Linked DNA regions of Tamandua tetradactyla. The protein of the gene in region 1 interacts with the protein of each later gene in a biochemical or structural test. Links are inferred from orthologs where the notes say so. Each region holds a gene or a part of one and is shown in the gene's direction. Other genes may lie near its edges.

Region 1 (7,949 bases):
TGTGTTTTAAATTTTCATTTTAAGAATAATTCTAAATAATAAACATTTGTGGCATTATCTTAAAATTTTTCAGTTTTTTTTTACTGGCATTTATTTTTTGTTACTGTCCCCCTCTTAATCTTTTCTATCTTATCTTTTATCTATCTTTTCTATCTTATCTATCTTTTCTATCTTATCAAATATCTATATCAGGTAGAAATCATTTTACATGTTATTGAATATATAATCTTATCACAATACATTGGCTCAAAATAGCTCAAAATAATAATAAGCCTTGCATTTATTGTGGCAGCTTTTTTTTTTTACAGAAAACCTATGAAACTTTTTATATAATCCCATGACAGAAAAATGATCTCTGTTTATTATTATGGTCACGTAATATTAAAAAAACAAGTAAACAGTGTCATAAAAATTCAAATTAAAAAAAAATTTTAAGGATATAATTTGGAGAGTTCCCAAGAATTCCAGTGAAATCCACATATTTATACCTAAAGCCTAAAGATAAATATTTACTAGGAATTTAGAAACATTTTCTAGGTGGAAGACAAACAATAACATGGAAAAAATGCTTAAGAAAATGTCAGGTGGTTCTAAATGCTATGAAGGCAAAAAAGCAGGGAAAGGGGCTAAAAGGGCTAGAATTGGTGTTTTAAACAGCTTAGTCAGTGGTGAAAATACGCTACCAGATAAGGGCCATAAAATATGTGAAATCTGAGGAAGACTTGAGCAAACACAAAGGAAGGGACCATGAACCATGGAGCAGATGATGATGAGCTTCAAGTCAAGAGTTTGATATTGGGGAGATTTCCAGAAAAGCCAGGGAGGAAAGTACATTCCAGGAACCATTTGCTGCATATACAGAGGGAGGGTAACTGAAACAGCCTCAGTGTGTTTAGAAATGACAAGGAGTTGGGTGTGGCTGTAATGTAGGAGAGTGGCAAGTTGCTAAAGCTAGGGAGGTGGAACTGGGACAGGTACAGATTGTCTTACATACTGTGCCAGGAGTTTAGCTTACAGGAAACCAAGATCATGCCCTGGATCTCATTGGGTTAGCTTTGTGGAGGACACCTCTGGAAGTAGCATGATGGAAGGACTGAAGACTTCTCTCACAAAATCCCCTCCCAGGATCTTAGCACCGATCACAACAGGACATGTCCAAATTTTCCTGTTCCTTTTTCTTCCCAGCAGCATCAGCAGAGATCCTGGTTGCCTATCCCAATATCCATTTCCTGTCTCTTGCATAATGATAGAATTCCCAGCTATTAGCAGAGCACAAAACCCCTTGGAATATATTGTCCAGTCTCCTTCATAGCTTGAACTAAGTTCCAGCTGTGAAATGTAAATGGAAGTTGGTGGCAGTTTTCTGAAATCATAAAAAACAGCTTGAGCATGCCTTCACTCTCTTTCTTCTTTCATCCCTTCCTCCCTCCTGTTGGAAACAAATGCTGATGTTTTGGTTGGAACCTGAGTCATCAACTTGGACAAACAAGACGGTGGAGAAAGAAAAGCAAGCCTGGGACCCCAGTGATTGTGGCGCTGCCATAACAGCCTTGACTTCTGACCTCTGAACTGTTTAAATAATAAAGAAATGACCTGTTATATTTAGGTTGGTATCATTTTGAGTTTTCTGTCACTTGTAGCCAAAAAGGAAAGGAAGCAGGCTTTTTTTTTAGGAGAGTTGTTATTTTCTATTTTTCCTTTTATTTTGCATGTATTTTCATCCCTCAGTGTTTCTGCCTTTGGGAAGTAACAGTTCATTTCTATGCAGTTCAGAGAACAGAGCTCTCCCGTGAAGCAGTTAACTCAGGTGCACCTGGAGAAGTTTACCAGCTGTCTCCTCCCACTGCATTCTCACATTCTCAGTCCAACTGGTTTTAAGTGTCTCCTTTGTGATATCATATTGGTTTCATAAGGGCTGCCTTAATTGCCTTTAAGAGCAAAGTTTAGACAGAATTGGCTTGAGAATTACATTTATCCCTTCATTCATTCATTCACTATTTATTAAGCATTTACTATGTGCCAGGCACTGCAATAACTATGTTCCCAATAAGTAAAGGAATGGCTCTGTTGGGTTCCGTGCAGGCCAGCCCATTTGAGGAACAACACATTCCATTGGAGAGAAAAGGTCATGTTTGAGAGGGATCTTGACAAACTTGAGCATAGCCACAGAAAACTAGGATGGTAGAAGTCTGGGTTCCTCCTTAATTCCACTTAAAAATAATAATAATAAGGCATAAAGGTAAGGGGAATTCAGCCTATGACAGATGCCCTATTTTTGGTCTAACCAGAATCCTGTGCCTCCTTATTCTGGAAACACATTCTCCTGCTTGAGGGAGGACCTGCTCCTTCCCATTCCTTGTAATTCTGGTGGGGATCTCAAGTGCAATACTCTCGCATCCAGGTGCAGGAACAGATGCATGACCCAAGCTAAACCAAGTGCAGCCCTTTTGTCTTTTTCCCCTTAGATTGTGAGTTAAAAGATGTGATTGCAGAGATGGTGCTACTTGTAATCCCCATCTATGTGGAAGAGCTTAAACAATGAAGCAAACACAAGCAGAGGCCAGCTGAGAGTAGGAAGTGCTTGGGTTAATTAGTCATGGGAATAGCTCTGTAATTGGCTTACGGGAAGCAATAAAGGTACTTTTTTTTATTTACCTGGTTTGGAATGGGTTTTCGGCCACTTGCAGAAGAATCTTGAAAAATGTATGCCATGTTCCCATATGCTAAAATCTACCTTGCAAAGGAGGAGAATTAGTCATTCATATAGGTCCAAAAAGCTAAACCTGGATCCAAGAGCTGAAGTTTCCAGGAGGCAGACTCAGGCTCAATAGGAGTTCTTTCTAACAATCGAAATGTTGTTAAAATAACCTAAGAAAAAGATGATTGGCACATGGGCAGGTCATTGGAACAAGTCACGTTTTTACTCCTCTAAAGCTCAATAAGCTTACTGTTAGAAAGGGGAAGGAAGTCAACCCTATTTCCTATAGTCTATTGGATAAATTTTATTATTTTGTCACTAAGAAAATAAAGGAAGAGGAGGAAATACACTCAAATAAATGGATTTAAAGTGACAATTAAAAGTTTACTACTGGGTGGGTCACGGTGGCTCAGTGGCAGAGTTCTCACCTGCCATGCAGGAGACCCAGGTTCATCTCCCGGTGCCTGCCCGAGCAAAATAAAAAATAAAAAAGTTCACTACTGCATCTATCCATCTACCCATCCCTCCACTCAACAAACATCTATTGAATTTTTACTCTTTGCTGGGTTTTGTACTAAGTACTGTGTGTAACCATGAATTGGGTCCCATTTTTAACCTCTAAGAATACTGAGGTCTTCAGAGGGAGGCAGATAAACAGTCAAGACAATAATTCACAGAGTAAGAGGTGCTGGGACAAAAGTATGTGACTTACTCAATGACTCAATAAAGGAAGTAGGAAGGACAGTGGGGATGGGGATATGTTAGAAATAGCTCTGGAGTAGAGGTGATACTTGAGCTGGATAATAAAGACGTGCTGGCCATGCAAAAGGCAGATGGGGTGGGGGTGGAAGATGAGGGCAAAGGGCACCAAGACATGAACGATTGTTGGCCTTCAACGCACGGTAAGTGGTAAGTGTTGCTAAAATGGGAAAGAGTGAGGTCAGGGATTCAACAGTACTCCATGTAACTAGATGAGGGAGCAGGGTCTTCTGAAGAATTGTGATCAGAAGACTCTAACCTCAATTTAAGTTTTAGAAAAATCATGCTAACAATAGTAGAGGTTGGATTTGGAGAGGACACGTTCTTAAGCATCACAATCGGATCTCTGTTTTTCATCAGATATATCTAATGTTTAAATATCTTGATGAACACCAAAGAGTTCAAAGACTCAGAGTCAGAAGAACAAAAGTCCACGCTCTCCCACCCTGGCCATGAAGTTTGGTTCTGAGGCCTTTAGAGAGTCACTTAACCACTTTGAGCCTCAGTTCCCTCATCTGTAAAATGGGGATAATAACCCAACACAAAAGGTTATTATGAAGATAGAATGAAATAAATTACACTAAAGCACCTTGTAAACTTCACAGAGACATACAAATACACAGATCTGTTGTTTTGTCCTGTACAAAGACTGGTTTTTGTCCTAGTGTTATTATAGCCAGATAAAATTTACAATAGTTGCTTAATGTCCATGAATTATAACCAGGGTAGAGCATTTGGAGGTGACAAGGTTTTTTTGACAAGACAAGGTGGGCTGAGAACTGGATGGAGAGGGCTGGACCTGGGAGTTCAAACAGACCCAGGTGACAGAGGATCACTGATTTCTAGGGAGAGGTTAGACATTTGAGTCCAAACCAGAAGTCCAGTCCAAAATAGAAGGGAGAGGCAGGAAGTGAATTCCACAAGCCAAAGTTCAAACTAAGTCCAAGCTCCAGGTTCCCATCTATTCAGGAGAAAGAAGTGATCAGTAGAGGTCCAAGAGGAAACTATAAGAAGAGATCTTAGCCACTGAGTTAGGTGGTATGAAAAGAGTTTAACAGCTAATAACAAGGACCTTCTTCTGCAAACACTTGTGTTTGTTCATTCAACAAACATACATTGAGTACCTTTTAAGCTCCAGGAATACAAAGTTGAATAAGTTAAGCAACTTGTAATCCAATGAGGAAGCCAGACATGCAAGCAATAATTCTAATACAGCCTGGAAAGAGGAGCAACGTCAGGAAACACATCAGGAAAGAGTTTTTGTTTTCAGAGCACAGAGGAAGGCCACTGATCTGGCTACACCATGTTGGGGACATTTCTGGAAGGGGTGATTAGGAGTTCACCAGGTGAGCCAGATACAGTCAGGGATGAAGGTATTTCAGGCAGCAAGGACAGTGTGAACAACAGCAGGGAAACAAGAATAGGATATACAAGCAGGTATAAATTGTCGTGGTATAAACCAGGAACAGGAGTTGGGTGGGACGTCTATAGGTAATAGGAGAGGAAGCTAGAGAAGCTGGCAAGAGAGCTGCCTGTGCTAGTCCAGGAAAGCTGGGACTTCATCCTGAAGGCAACAGGAGCCATGGAAACACTTACACAGGTGAGTAATAGGACAGGAAGTGGATTGCTGAGAGTTGCTATGACAGAGGAAACAAAGCAAGGGACCTGGACACTGAGAACATGGGGACCAAGAAGATATGGAGAAACAAGGCAAGAAGCCCTACAGGACTGGGGTTCTGCAGTTAGAACAACTCTAGCTTCCCGATGGATCTGGATACCGAGCCCTTCAGCTGACGGTCAGTAGTTCTAACGTGGAGGACTTGAATGAGCTGAGGCAGGCAGCTGTCCCCTGAGACTAGAGCCAAAGGAGGGAATATATCTGAGCCTGCACTAGTCAAAAATTATTTCACTAGACAGACATAGTTTCTACCTGCCCTAATTTAATTTGTTTTATTACTTCAATTAACTTTTTCTTTTTTTTACCTACTGGATGCTGGGCTTTGGTTTGGCATTTTATATACATAGATAGATAGATTTTTTAATACTTAATTTTTGCAACCACACTGAGTTCTATTTACAAAGAAAGGGAGGTTAAGTCTTCCAAACCGATGAGCTTTGTCCAGGAATAGAACCATGTTGTGTCTAGTTACAAAGGCCACCATGAAACAGTTGTGCTGAGAGGAACTTTCATTCTGCATAAGAAAAAATGGGAAAGGGAAAACTATAATGGCAGGCAGCAAGAGTTTATGTCAGAAACCATAAATTTCTGGTGGTCTCAATCAGCAAGGTTGGGTACAGGATTCAGCAGCCAGATTCAGGCACAAAGACGGCCAAGAATGGGAATGAACCCATGTCGGGCTTTTGCTAAGTCCCCTACAGAGGAATCACACAAGCTGAAAATAATGGCGAGAGAGTAATTGAAGTGAGAGAACTTGGGGTTTAGCTAGCTAGAAAAAGGAGTCACGACGGGGGCATTATTTTGTGGTGTGCTGAAGGTATGGATGTGCACCATGTCAGAAGGTCTGGGTAGTGCCGTGTGTGCTTTGTGACTGGTGTGTGCTGTCACACTTGTCAGTGTGTGTGTCAGTGTACTGGGTAGTGTACAGACTGTGTGGTACATGGTGGAAAGGTGCAGTATGTAGTGTGTGAGTGCTGCAGGGCATGTATTTGTGTGTGAGGTGTGAGGAGCGTATGGAGAGTCTGTGTGCTTGTGCGCTGTTTGTTTGTGTTTGTGTGTGGTTTATCTTTGCAGGGAATGGGGCATGGTGATGATGTCCCTAGATGGGAGATGGTGGCATCTGCTTGGGACTGTGTATGCATAAGTGTGTAGTTTGGAGTGTGTGTAGAGGATACAGTAAATCATGTGTGTCTTTCTATGTGAGAGTGTGTGATGTTTGTGTAGAAGCGAGAGATGTGTAGCTGAGCAACTAAGAATGAACTTTATAACGCTGATACACAATGACTTGAATTGGGGAAAAATGTTTTAGGTTTGGTTTTTTTTTCACTCTTGTTTTTTTATGTTGTGCTTTGTTTAACCATAAATAATTTCTCTCCAGGAGAAGAGACTCTGCCTCACCTACCTAATCCCTTTATTCTGGGAGGTGAGGCCTGTTTGTTGTGTAGCTGTTGGTCAGACACCCACTCACTCTTCTCCTTGGGGGTGAGCGGTGGTCCAAATGAAAATGTTGGGACTGAAATGGTAAATATTGTCAGGTAAAGGCGTTTGGATGTACCTCTAAAAGTTAAACATAGACTATCATATATATGATCCAGCAATTCCACTCCTAGGTATTTATCCCAAAGAACTAAAAACCGGCACTCAAACAAATTCATGTACACACATGTTCATAGAAGCACTATTCATGATAGCCAAAAGACGGAAATAGCCCACATGTCCATCAAGAGAAGGATGGATCAACAAATGTGTTATATCCATATACAGTGGCTATTGTTCAGTTGTACAAAAGAATGAAGCGCAGATGCATGCTACAGCATGGATGACTCTAGAAAACGTTATGCTAAGGGAAAGAAGCCAGACACAAAATATCACCTATTGCCTTACTCCATTTATATGAAATATCCAGAAAAAGTAACTACCTTTTCAGAACAGGTAATTGCCTTAGCGACAGAATGCAGCCTGATGGTTGCCAGGAGGTGGGAGGAGAGGGGAGTGGAGAGAAACTGCTTAATGGACAAGGGGGTTAATTTTGGAGCGATGGAAATGTTTTGTAACTAGATAGAGCTGATGGTTGCACAGCATTGTGAGTGTACGAAATGTCACTGAATTGTTCACTTTAAAATGGTTAATTTCATGTCATGTAAATTTCACCCCAGTACAATTAAAAAAAAAAAAAAGAATATTTAGAAAAGATGGAAATCCTGCATCTCGGGCTAGGGGCTTCTCAGAGACTGAATTTAAATCATCAAAAATTTCCTCTAGGGTGCCCGGGTGGTTTAGTGATACAAATGCTCGCCTTTCATGCGGGTTCGATTCCTGGACCATGCACCTCCAAAAAAAAAAAAAAAAAATGTCCTCTGGTGATGCCAGAGAGAAGGTCGCTGGGAGTCCTACGACTCAAAGGCAAGAAGATAAAAGAGGAGAGAGCCCCAGGAGATATTGTGAAAGGGCATGGCCAGTGGGATTTAGGGACTCTGATGACAGGTCACTGATCATGTTTCTAATTACAAAGAAATTGTCATTTTAATTTCTTTGGGTTGGTCTCTCAGCTTTATAAGGTTTACGGAGTGCTAAGCCCAGAATCAGCGAGGCTCTGGAGAATGAAGAGCAGGCGAGTGCCCAGCCTTGGGGTGAGATCCCATGGGAAGAGGTCAGAAGCGAGCAGCAGAGCAATTAGAAATTGTGAGTAAGGTCTAAATTTATATTTATTGTCAGAGGAACATTCACTAACTATTAAGTGAAAAAGGATTAAAAGAGCATTTCACAACATGTGTGAAATGAGTTCATTTAAAACTATGTTGTGTGTATGTGAAT
Region 2 (7,534 bases), on another chromosome or scaffold:
CCTTCTGGAGGAGGTGTGGTAGAAGGAGAGCATGAGGTTCCCACAGAAGAGCGCTGGGAGGTGACTGTCAGAGTCAGGGCATGGAGAGTGGTTGGGAAGGTCTGAGCTCTGCAGTGGTGGGAATGCATGCATGGGATGGAAGGAAAGAGGGAGGAGGCGGGTGGCCGTGGGATCAGCATGGGAGCTGCTGCCATACTCTGAGCAGAGACAGGAAGGTCTGTCTTGGGGCAGTGGCACATGGGGTGGGGTGGGGGGATTGTGACCACTGTCAGAAGAAAGGATGTCAGGAAGAATGGCTTGAAAAGGAGGATTCACAGTTGCTCGCTCACTCTCAGGAGCCAGCAGGACTTCAGGAGAGAAGCATCCAATAACTAGAGGCTGATGAACTTAGGACAGGATGGAGTGGGGGCCTCTAGTCCTCAAGGGAAGCCAACAGGACAGGGGAAACTGGCCCAGGAAGAAAGGTGAGCTGTAGGACTGTCCCTCACGGAGAAGCTAGTGCAAGTGGAGAAGCTGTCCTGGGTGAGGGGAGACAGTGATGAGGTGCTGGCATCTAGAGGGAAGGTAGCTGGTGGTCTTGAATAAAGTCAGGTCCGGCTTCCCGGCATGCTGGAACTGAGGAAGACAGCGAATCCCTACTCAGGTGGTGTTTCCCTGTGGCCACTCAATGTCAGAGGTGGGTCCTCCCCCTAAAAGCTGGGGGCTGACCTCCCATCAGCCTGAGGGGTATGGCAGGACCTCAGGCTACTCTGAGCTCTCCCAGCCCTGGCATCACCAGAAACTCTGCAGCCAGGGCTTAACCGGCCCTGGTCATATTAAGGCGTGGGCCCTGAGCTGCTGAAGGAAGGGCAGGGCCAGAGCCAGGTGCAGGTGGCAGGAGAACAAGGGACAAAACAGATCCTGCTTGCCCACCGAGAGCCGCCCGCAGGGCCCACGGACACAGGACACTTTGGAACCTGAGGCTGCCTGGCTGCCTGGGAACAGGGGATTTCATCGGGATGTGTGGGCTCTGCAGCAAGTGTGGGGGCTCTACGGCGGGCGTGGGGGCTCTGCTGAGGCCAGCTGGGTTAAGATCTCCCCTGGGAGATCACCAGGGCCCGTCACCAGAGCTGAAGGTGGAGGGGACCAGGGAGGGTGTGGTAATGCCTGGACACATGAGCCGACAGTTGTCCCTTCTGGCCTGCGTCCATCCCCCTGGGATCTGGGTCCTGACTCCTCGAGGGAGCTCTGCCTCTCCCACGGGGTCCCCGCAGGACTCTGAATGGAATCTTTCAGGCCCAGGTGGGGCAGCCTGGGATCCCAAGGCCAGGCTTTCCCTTGGGAGGGCTGGGGTGAGTCAGAGCCGCAGCCAGGAGATCACCTCATCCAGCAAACTCACTCCATAGATGAGGAGACCGAGATGTAGAGAAGGGGGCCGGGATTACTCGGGGTACCCCAGAGGCAGCTCTTGAGTAGGAGCCAAGCTCGGCAGGGGCCTTAACCTTTCTCTGCCAGTCAGACAGAGCCCACCTCAGAATCCCATTTTTCAAGACAAAATAGCATACCTAAGATTAAAAAGGAAAGCAATTATATTGAAATATCATTGTCAAAATGCTTAAAAACACATTTTTGATAGAGTAATGTCTGTTCTTCTTTATTAATATGTTCAATAATAACAGCTAGTGGCGCGCCTAAAAACTACTCTCATCTTGAAGTTGCGAAATGCATCAGTGTTTCGAGATACATGCAACCACTACAAAGAGATACGGAAATAGCTGCAATTTCTTTCAGTCACAGACCCTCCTAATACTTCTGGGGCGTCGCCTGCATTCCTAATGGAAGGAGTGCCAAATTTCAGTTAGCGGTTAATGAGAACGGGATGCAATTTTCTCCTGAATCCTTTGCCCATCCCTCCAAGGGGCCTGTCCTGAGCCCCTGAACTACACGGCCAGGCAAAGCCACTGTTTCACATCAGCAGCCAGGAGAGAGGGAGGACCCGAGTGCTGGAGGGGCCCCCAGTCTCATTCTTGAGCTGGTGCTGGTGACCAGGTGTGTCCAGTCGGTGGCAAGTGAACACCTATACCCTCAGAATAGGTGTACCAATCTGCATGAATTGTGGACGTCAAATCTTTAAAAAGAACGTCTTTACTAGAACATATCTTTACTAATTCGTGCAAGTGCAAGCGTGTTCATGCACACACACACATACACACACTCTGGCCAGTGTGTACCAGCAAGCCTCTGCAGGTCCATGGTTATCCACAAGCCTGCAGAACCCTCGTAGGCATGTGGACATAGGTAGATACAGTGAGACAGAGGGCACTATTTTTAGGAAATAATTCCAAGGAAAAGAGGTGGCCTCTTGACATACAGGACTGGTGATTGCTCACAGTAAAGAGGGTTGCCCTGCAAAGAACTGCTGTCATCCACGCTGGCCTTTTTTTTTTCTTTTTTCAATAAACAGAATAATGTCCTCATTGTTTTTACAAAAATAATACAAACCCTTCATAAAGAATTCAAGCAACGAAGAGAAAAGCACAAAGAAGAAAGTTTTAAATTACCCAAATTTCCGCCAGCTAAAGGGAAAAAAAAAATTCCCATTCACATTTGGTGATGAGTGTTACAGACATTTCTCTTTGTTCACTCAAAGATGGAAGTAGACAGGGAAATGCTTTCATAAAATGGGAAGCTACTCCCTCACCTGCTATTTTTAACAGAGATGTTCCTTTGACTTAAAGGGAGCAGGAGAAATAGACGCTGAAGGTTGGAGTGCTGTCCTAGGACATCCTCCTCTCCCAGCCGCCCTTTGCACAGGCCATGCTGCCCCTCCCAGGGGACCAGAGGCGCCCTTTCAAGGCCTGCCTGTGTTGTGTTTGCTCACTGTTTGTTTACCTGCCACCTGGCCAGGTGCCCACTTCCCGGTGATCCACACTCCTCGCAGCGAGGGCCCTGGAGGCAGAGCCTGGCCCTCCGTGTGCGAGGGTCGGTGACAGCAGCAGCCCACTGGGGTCCTTGGTAGCCTGTTTCTCAGGGGGAGGATCAAGGCAAAGCTGGCCCTTGGTTGAAGGAAGGGGATTCTGTCCTGGCAGAGCTCTCCAACAGGTGTCCGCTCTGCCCTCTTGAGCGGGTGCCCGGCCCTTTCCGGGTGTGATGCGGTCGGCAGCGACGTCGCCTCCCGGGTCAGTGTCACAGTGGGTGACCGCTGGTACCACATCCTGTTTTGGCGGGGCAGTCGGGAGCACATTCTTCTGCCTTGGTGTCATAGACAGCACGTGTCCACCCCGGGTCCTGGGCGGTTGGAGGCAGCCAGGGGCCACATTCTCCCGGCGTGGCGTCACGCACATGTGCCGGCTGCACATCCTCGTTGATGAGCGGTCGCCGTGTTCCGGCCCTGCCGTCTCTTGGGATCAGCTCTCATTTGTTCAGAGCCAGCAGGAGGGGAGCGAGGGGAGGAGGGGGGAGCTGGGGACGCTCTGTCAGCATTTCCCAGCTTTGGAACCAGATTGGTACGGGGCAGATGCAGCACCTGGGGATGCCTTAGAGAGCCTCAGCAGGGCCCTGCCACAGCTGTGCACACCCAGGACCAAACATCTGGATGGCAGCTGTGAAATTGTTCCCCCACTGCTTCCCCAGTCTGCAGAATTTGTCTGGGTGTCGAGCAGCAGATACAGGTGCTTCGTCAGTTGCTACTTTCCACCCAGATGTTAACACCTTATTGTGCCCCGTGGTGCTGCAGGGAGACTAGTCAGAATATCCCTCAACCTCCGGCCCCATCACTCAGCCCGGGAATCTGCTTGGAAGGAAGCCCTGAGTTTGGGCATTGGCCTGGGGGTCCTCTCATCACCCTCCATAGGGCTCCAAGGTTCCTGCATAAAGGACTAATTTGAGAGGAGAGCAGCAGCTGGTTCTCTCTAACACCCTTGCCCCTCGCCTGTGCATTAACCATCATTCATGCAGTCTCATTCATTTGTTCAAGACCAACCATCTGGTTTAGGACCAGCTCTGCCGGTGATGACAGGCCTTGCCCCTGCTCCACGAACCACCCCACCTCCTCCAGAGTGTGTTGGCACCAGTTGTGAGAAGTGCCTCGAGTGACGATAGTTTAGGAGCCAAAAGGTGCCATTGTCCCCTCTGGGGCTGAGTGGAGCAGCCCCAATGTTTCAGTGTTTCAGTGATGGTCACTTTCACCCACATGTACTCAGACATGCTTTGGGGGATGGGAGAGGGAAGAGTGACCCTCCCAAATACCCCACCGCCTGGAGGCTCTGGGTTTACCCAGGTCCGTGCTGGTCAGTGTGCCAGTGGAGATGGTTGGGGGGCGCCATCTGGGAGCATCTTTCAGCCCCTCACCGGCGGGTCTGGCCACGCTGTCCCCGGCCCAGGGTGCGGCCTCATGCCCCATGTCCGTGTCTTCCAGCTCCCCCACAAGCAGCGTGAGGAGAACCTGTGCCCCAGAAGCAGGATGAGAAAATGGCAAACTTCCTGTTACCTCGGGGCACCAGCAGCTTCCGCAGGTTCACCCGGGAGTCCCTGGCGGCCATTGAGAAGCGCATGGCAGAGAAGCAGGCTCGCAGCTCGACCGCCTCGCAGGAGAGCCGCGAGGGGCAGCCCGAGGAGGAGGTGCCCCGGCCCCAGCTGGACCTGCAGGCCTCCAAAAAGCTGCCGGATCTCTATGGCAATCCTCCCCGAGAGCTCATCGGGGAACCCCTGGAGGACCTGGACCCCTTCTATAGCACCCAAAAGGTGACTGCCACCCACCCGCCCACCTCCCTCCACGCGGCAGACAGGGAGACAGCCTTGCCTCCATATGGGGTTCTGTGCAGGGTGGGTTCTCCTGGGCTTCAGGAGAATGAGTCATAGGCGAGCTACATTCCAATCACCTTAATTTTGGAGTTCCAAAATAAAAGGCAGGAATTATGCAGCCTAAGATGCTGCTTTGGTGCTATGAAGAAAAACGAGGGCAGCACCATTGAAATCTTACCTCCTTGTTTGGAATTTGAGAATTATCTGTGGTTAGGTTGTCACTTCTGCAGGACTTCTCCCCATCCCCTGGTGTGTGTGTGTGTGTGTGTGTCACCCCAAGTCATGCCCTGAGTTGAGTTTGGACCCCAGAACACAGCGTACGGTCCCCTCTCTGAACTCAGGGCACCATGCTCCCACCACCCCCCCCGCCTCGCCACACTCCACCCTGCTGGCAGCATGGGCAACCCAGGGTTGGCTGCGCTGGGGTGGCTCAGGCTAGGGCCCACAGCAGCAACTCCCCTGGGATCTGTGAGGTGGCAACAGGACCGGGAAGGCCAGTGGGAAATCTGAGAGGGACAGTGGGGGAGGGGCCGGGGTAGTTCTGCCATTGTCCCTCCTGAGTATTGGGGGAGGAAGTGGCTTTTGTAGGTATACTAGGGCGGGTGACTGGGGCTTCCTCCTAGCATGGACTTCTACTCAGGAGGTAAACCCCACCCTCAACCCCTGTCTCAGTCCCCTGCCCTGGCCTCTCCCCTCAAGACATTATGTTCTTCCACCCTGCACCCACCAGACCCTGGGCACACATGCTCCATCTCCCAGCCTGGCTCACCACTGTTCTGGGCCTCACTGCTGCAGGAAAGTGGATTAGTATCTGGGGTAAGGCCTGTCCCGGGGATGGGCACCGAGGATGACAGTGACTGCTCATGTGACTGCAGCTAGTGCCAGGGATGAGGAGGCACTTGAGGGGCAGATAGGATCAGAGTCCTCAGGATAGGCCAGGAGGGCGTGCCTGGGAGTGCAAGCAGATGTGAGTGGCAATGTCCATGTCACTAGCATTTGGGTGTGTGACTGTCTACAGGACCAAGAGTCTGGAGACGGATGTGATGCATGTTTGCCCCAGTGGGCCTGAGTGTGCAAAGGGAAAACCCACCATCTATACGCAGAGGCAGGAGAGATGCTCTTTAACCTGGTCCTGCTCCCAGACTTCCAGCTGAGCCACCCTTTGTTCAGGGGACTCGGGTGGGCTCAAGAACAGGGTCCATGGCACAGTTGGGATCGGGGTTGGGTTGATAGTTGGGATTAGTCAGAGTGGGTGGGCCTAGGTTACAATTGATCAGAGCTGAAAGTCAGAATTGGTGTTGGGGTCAAGACCACAGTGGGTGGCGAGTCGAGGTTACCATGAGAGGAAGGGTGGTGATGAGGCTGGGCTTAGCTGGGATCAGGCAGGAGTCAAGGCTGGTGGGCTCAGCTGGGGCTGGGGATCAGGGTTGGGCTCGGTTTTAGGGAACTATTGGCAGTTTGGCCCGGGAGGAGTCAGGGACTCTATTTGTTCTGTCCCTGTGTCCACCAGGAATGTTTGAAGAGTGACCCCAAGGTGATTCTGACCTCTAATCTTGTTTCTCCTTGCTGACTCTTGGCCACACTGGCTACAGCCCCATAGAGTGACCAAGTCCCCACAGCAGAACTTTGGGTCCTGATATATGTGGTCAGCCTGTTTTACCAGCCCAGATAGGATAGAACTTTGTCTGCCCAGCTCTGCCCTTGGAGAAGCAAGACCTATGGGGATGAAATCTGTCCTCAAGGGCCATTTTGGCCTTAATTCCCACCTAATATACATATGGCTCAGCCTCCAGCACTTGCTCTCCATCCCCAGGACCCATTGTGCTGTGTAGACAGCACCTTCTGGAAGCTGGGGGGTGGAGGGTCCCACTAGGACCACTCACAAGCCCTCCACAGGTTGTCTCCTGGGTGGTAGGGTGGGACTGACGTCTGTCCTGCACTCAAGGAGGCAGGGCCCTGGGGAAAGCTTCCCTCTGCACCTTCCTCATGGTTCTCTTGCACCCATGGTTCTCCCTGGTGACCCAGCTCTCCCGGTCGTACCCTCACTCCATCAGGCTGGTGGGAAAGCCATGTAGAGCCGGTGGGTTCAGGCAAGGAAGAAGGGTAAGGGGGAGGCCTCAGCTAGGTCTTTTTGGTCTCTGCTGTCACACAGCTAGACTAGGATCATGAAAGGCCCTTATTAAGGACTATAATTTTGAAATGAAATCCCAACCAACGTGACCGTTCCCTAAACCTAACCTCACTCAGTCCCTCGGCTCTTCCTCCTCCCCCACTCCCAGTCCCCCTGCCCCAAAGCCTCTCTCCACTAGTAGCCCGGGCCTGTCACCTCTGACCTAATCAGCTCTCTGTCCACAGACCTTTATCGTGCTCAACAAAGGCAAGACCATCTTCCGGTTCAGTGCCACCAACGCCTTGTATGTCCTCAGCCCCTTCCACCCTGTCCGGAGAGCAGCTGTGAAGATCCTGGTTCATTCATATCCTTTGCAATTAATCCCTTCTGGGTGTGCCCTCTGGACCCCACATGTGGTGCGGGCAGGGTGCTGCCCCCCACCCCAGCCCCCCTCATAGTTTTTGCTGAGGGTGGTGCTGATTCTTACAAGCAGCACAGACATCACCTAGTTGCTGATTAGAAATAGAGAACCCCAGGCACCCCCCATCCCCAGACCTGCCAAATTAGCAGTTGCATTTTAGCAGGATCTCCCAGGGGGTTCTTGAGCACATGAAAGTTTGAGAAGCCCTACTCTGCGTCTTC

The links.
Region 2: the proteins of PTPN3 (region 1) and SCN5A form a complex in vitro, tested with the Homo sapiens proteins (2 studies listed by IntAct, with this or other methods). The link is inferred for Tamandua tetradactyla from reciprocal best matches to the Homo sapiens genes PTPN3 and SCN5A.

Annotation. Positions count from the first base shown.
Region 1 is NC_135328.1:28,458,052-28,466,000, reverse strand, and holds the start of PTPN3 (tyrosine-protein phosphatase non-receptor type 3), read left to right. Parts: upstream 1-4,781; 5' UTR 4,782-5,039; coding exon 5,040-5,253; intron 5,254-7,786; exon of another isoform or gene 7,787-7,817; intron 7,818-7,949.
Region 2 is NC_135341.1:48,697,333-48,704,866, forward strand, and holds the start of SCN5A (sodium channel protein type 5 subunit alpha), read left to right. Parts: upstream 1-4,402; 5' UTR 4,403-4,449; coding exon 4,450-4,722; intron 4,723-7,137; coding exon 7,138-7,255; intron 7,256-7,534. UniProt on the Homo sapiens protein: Pore-forming subunit of Nav1.5, a voltage-gated sodium (Nav) channel that directly mediates the depolarizing phase of action potentials in excitable membranes.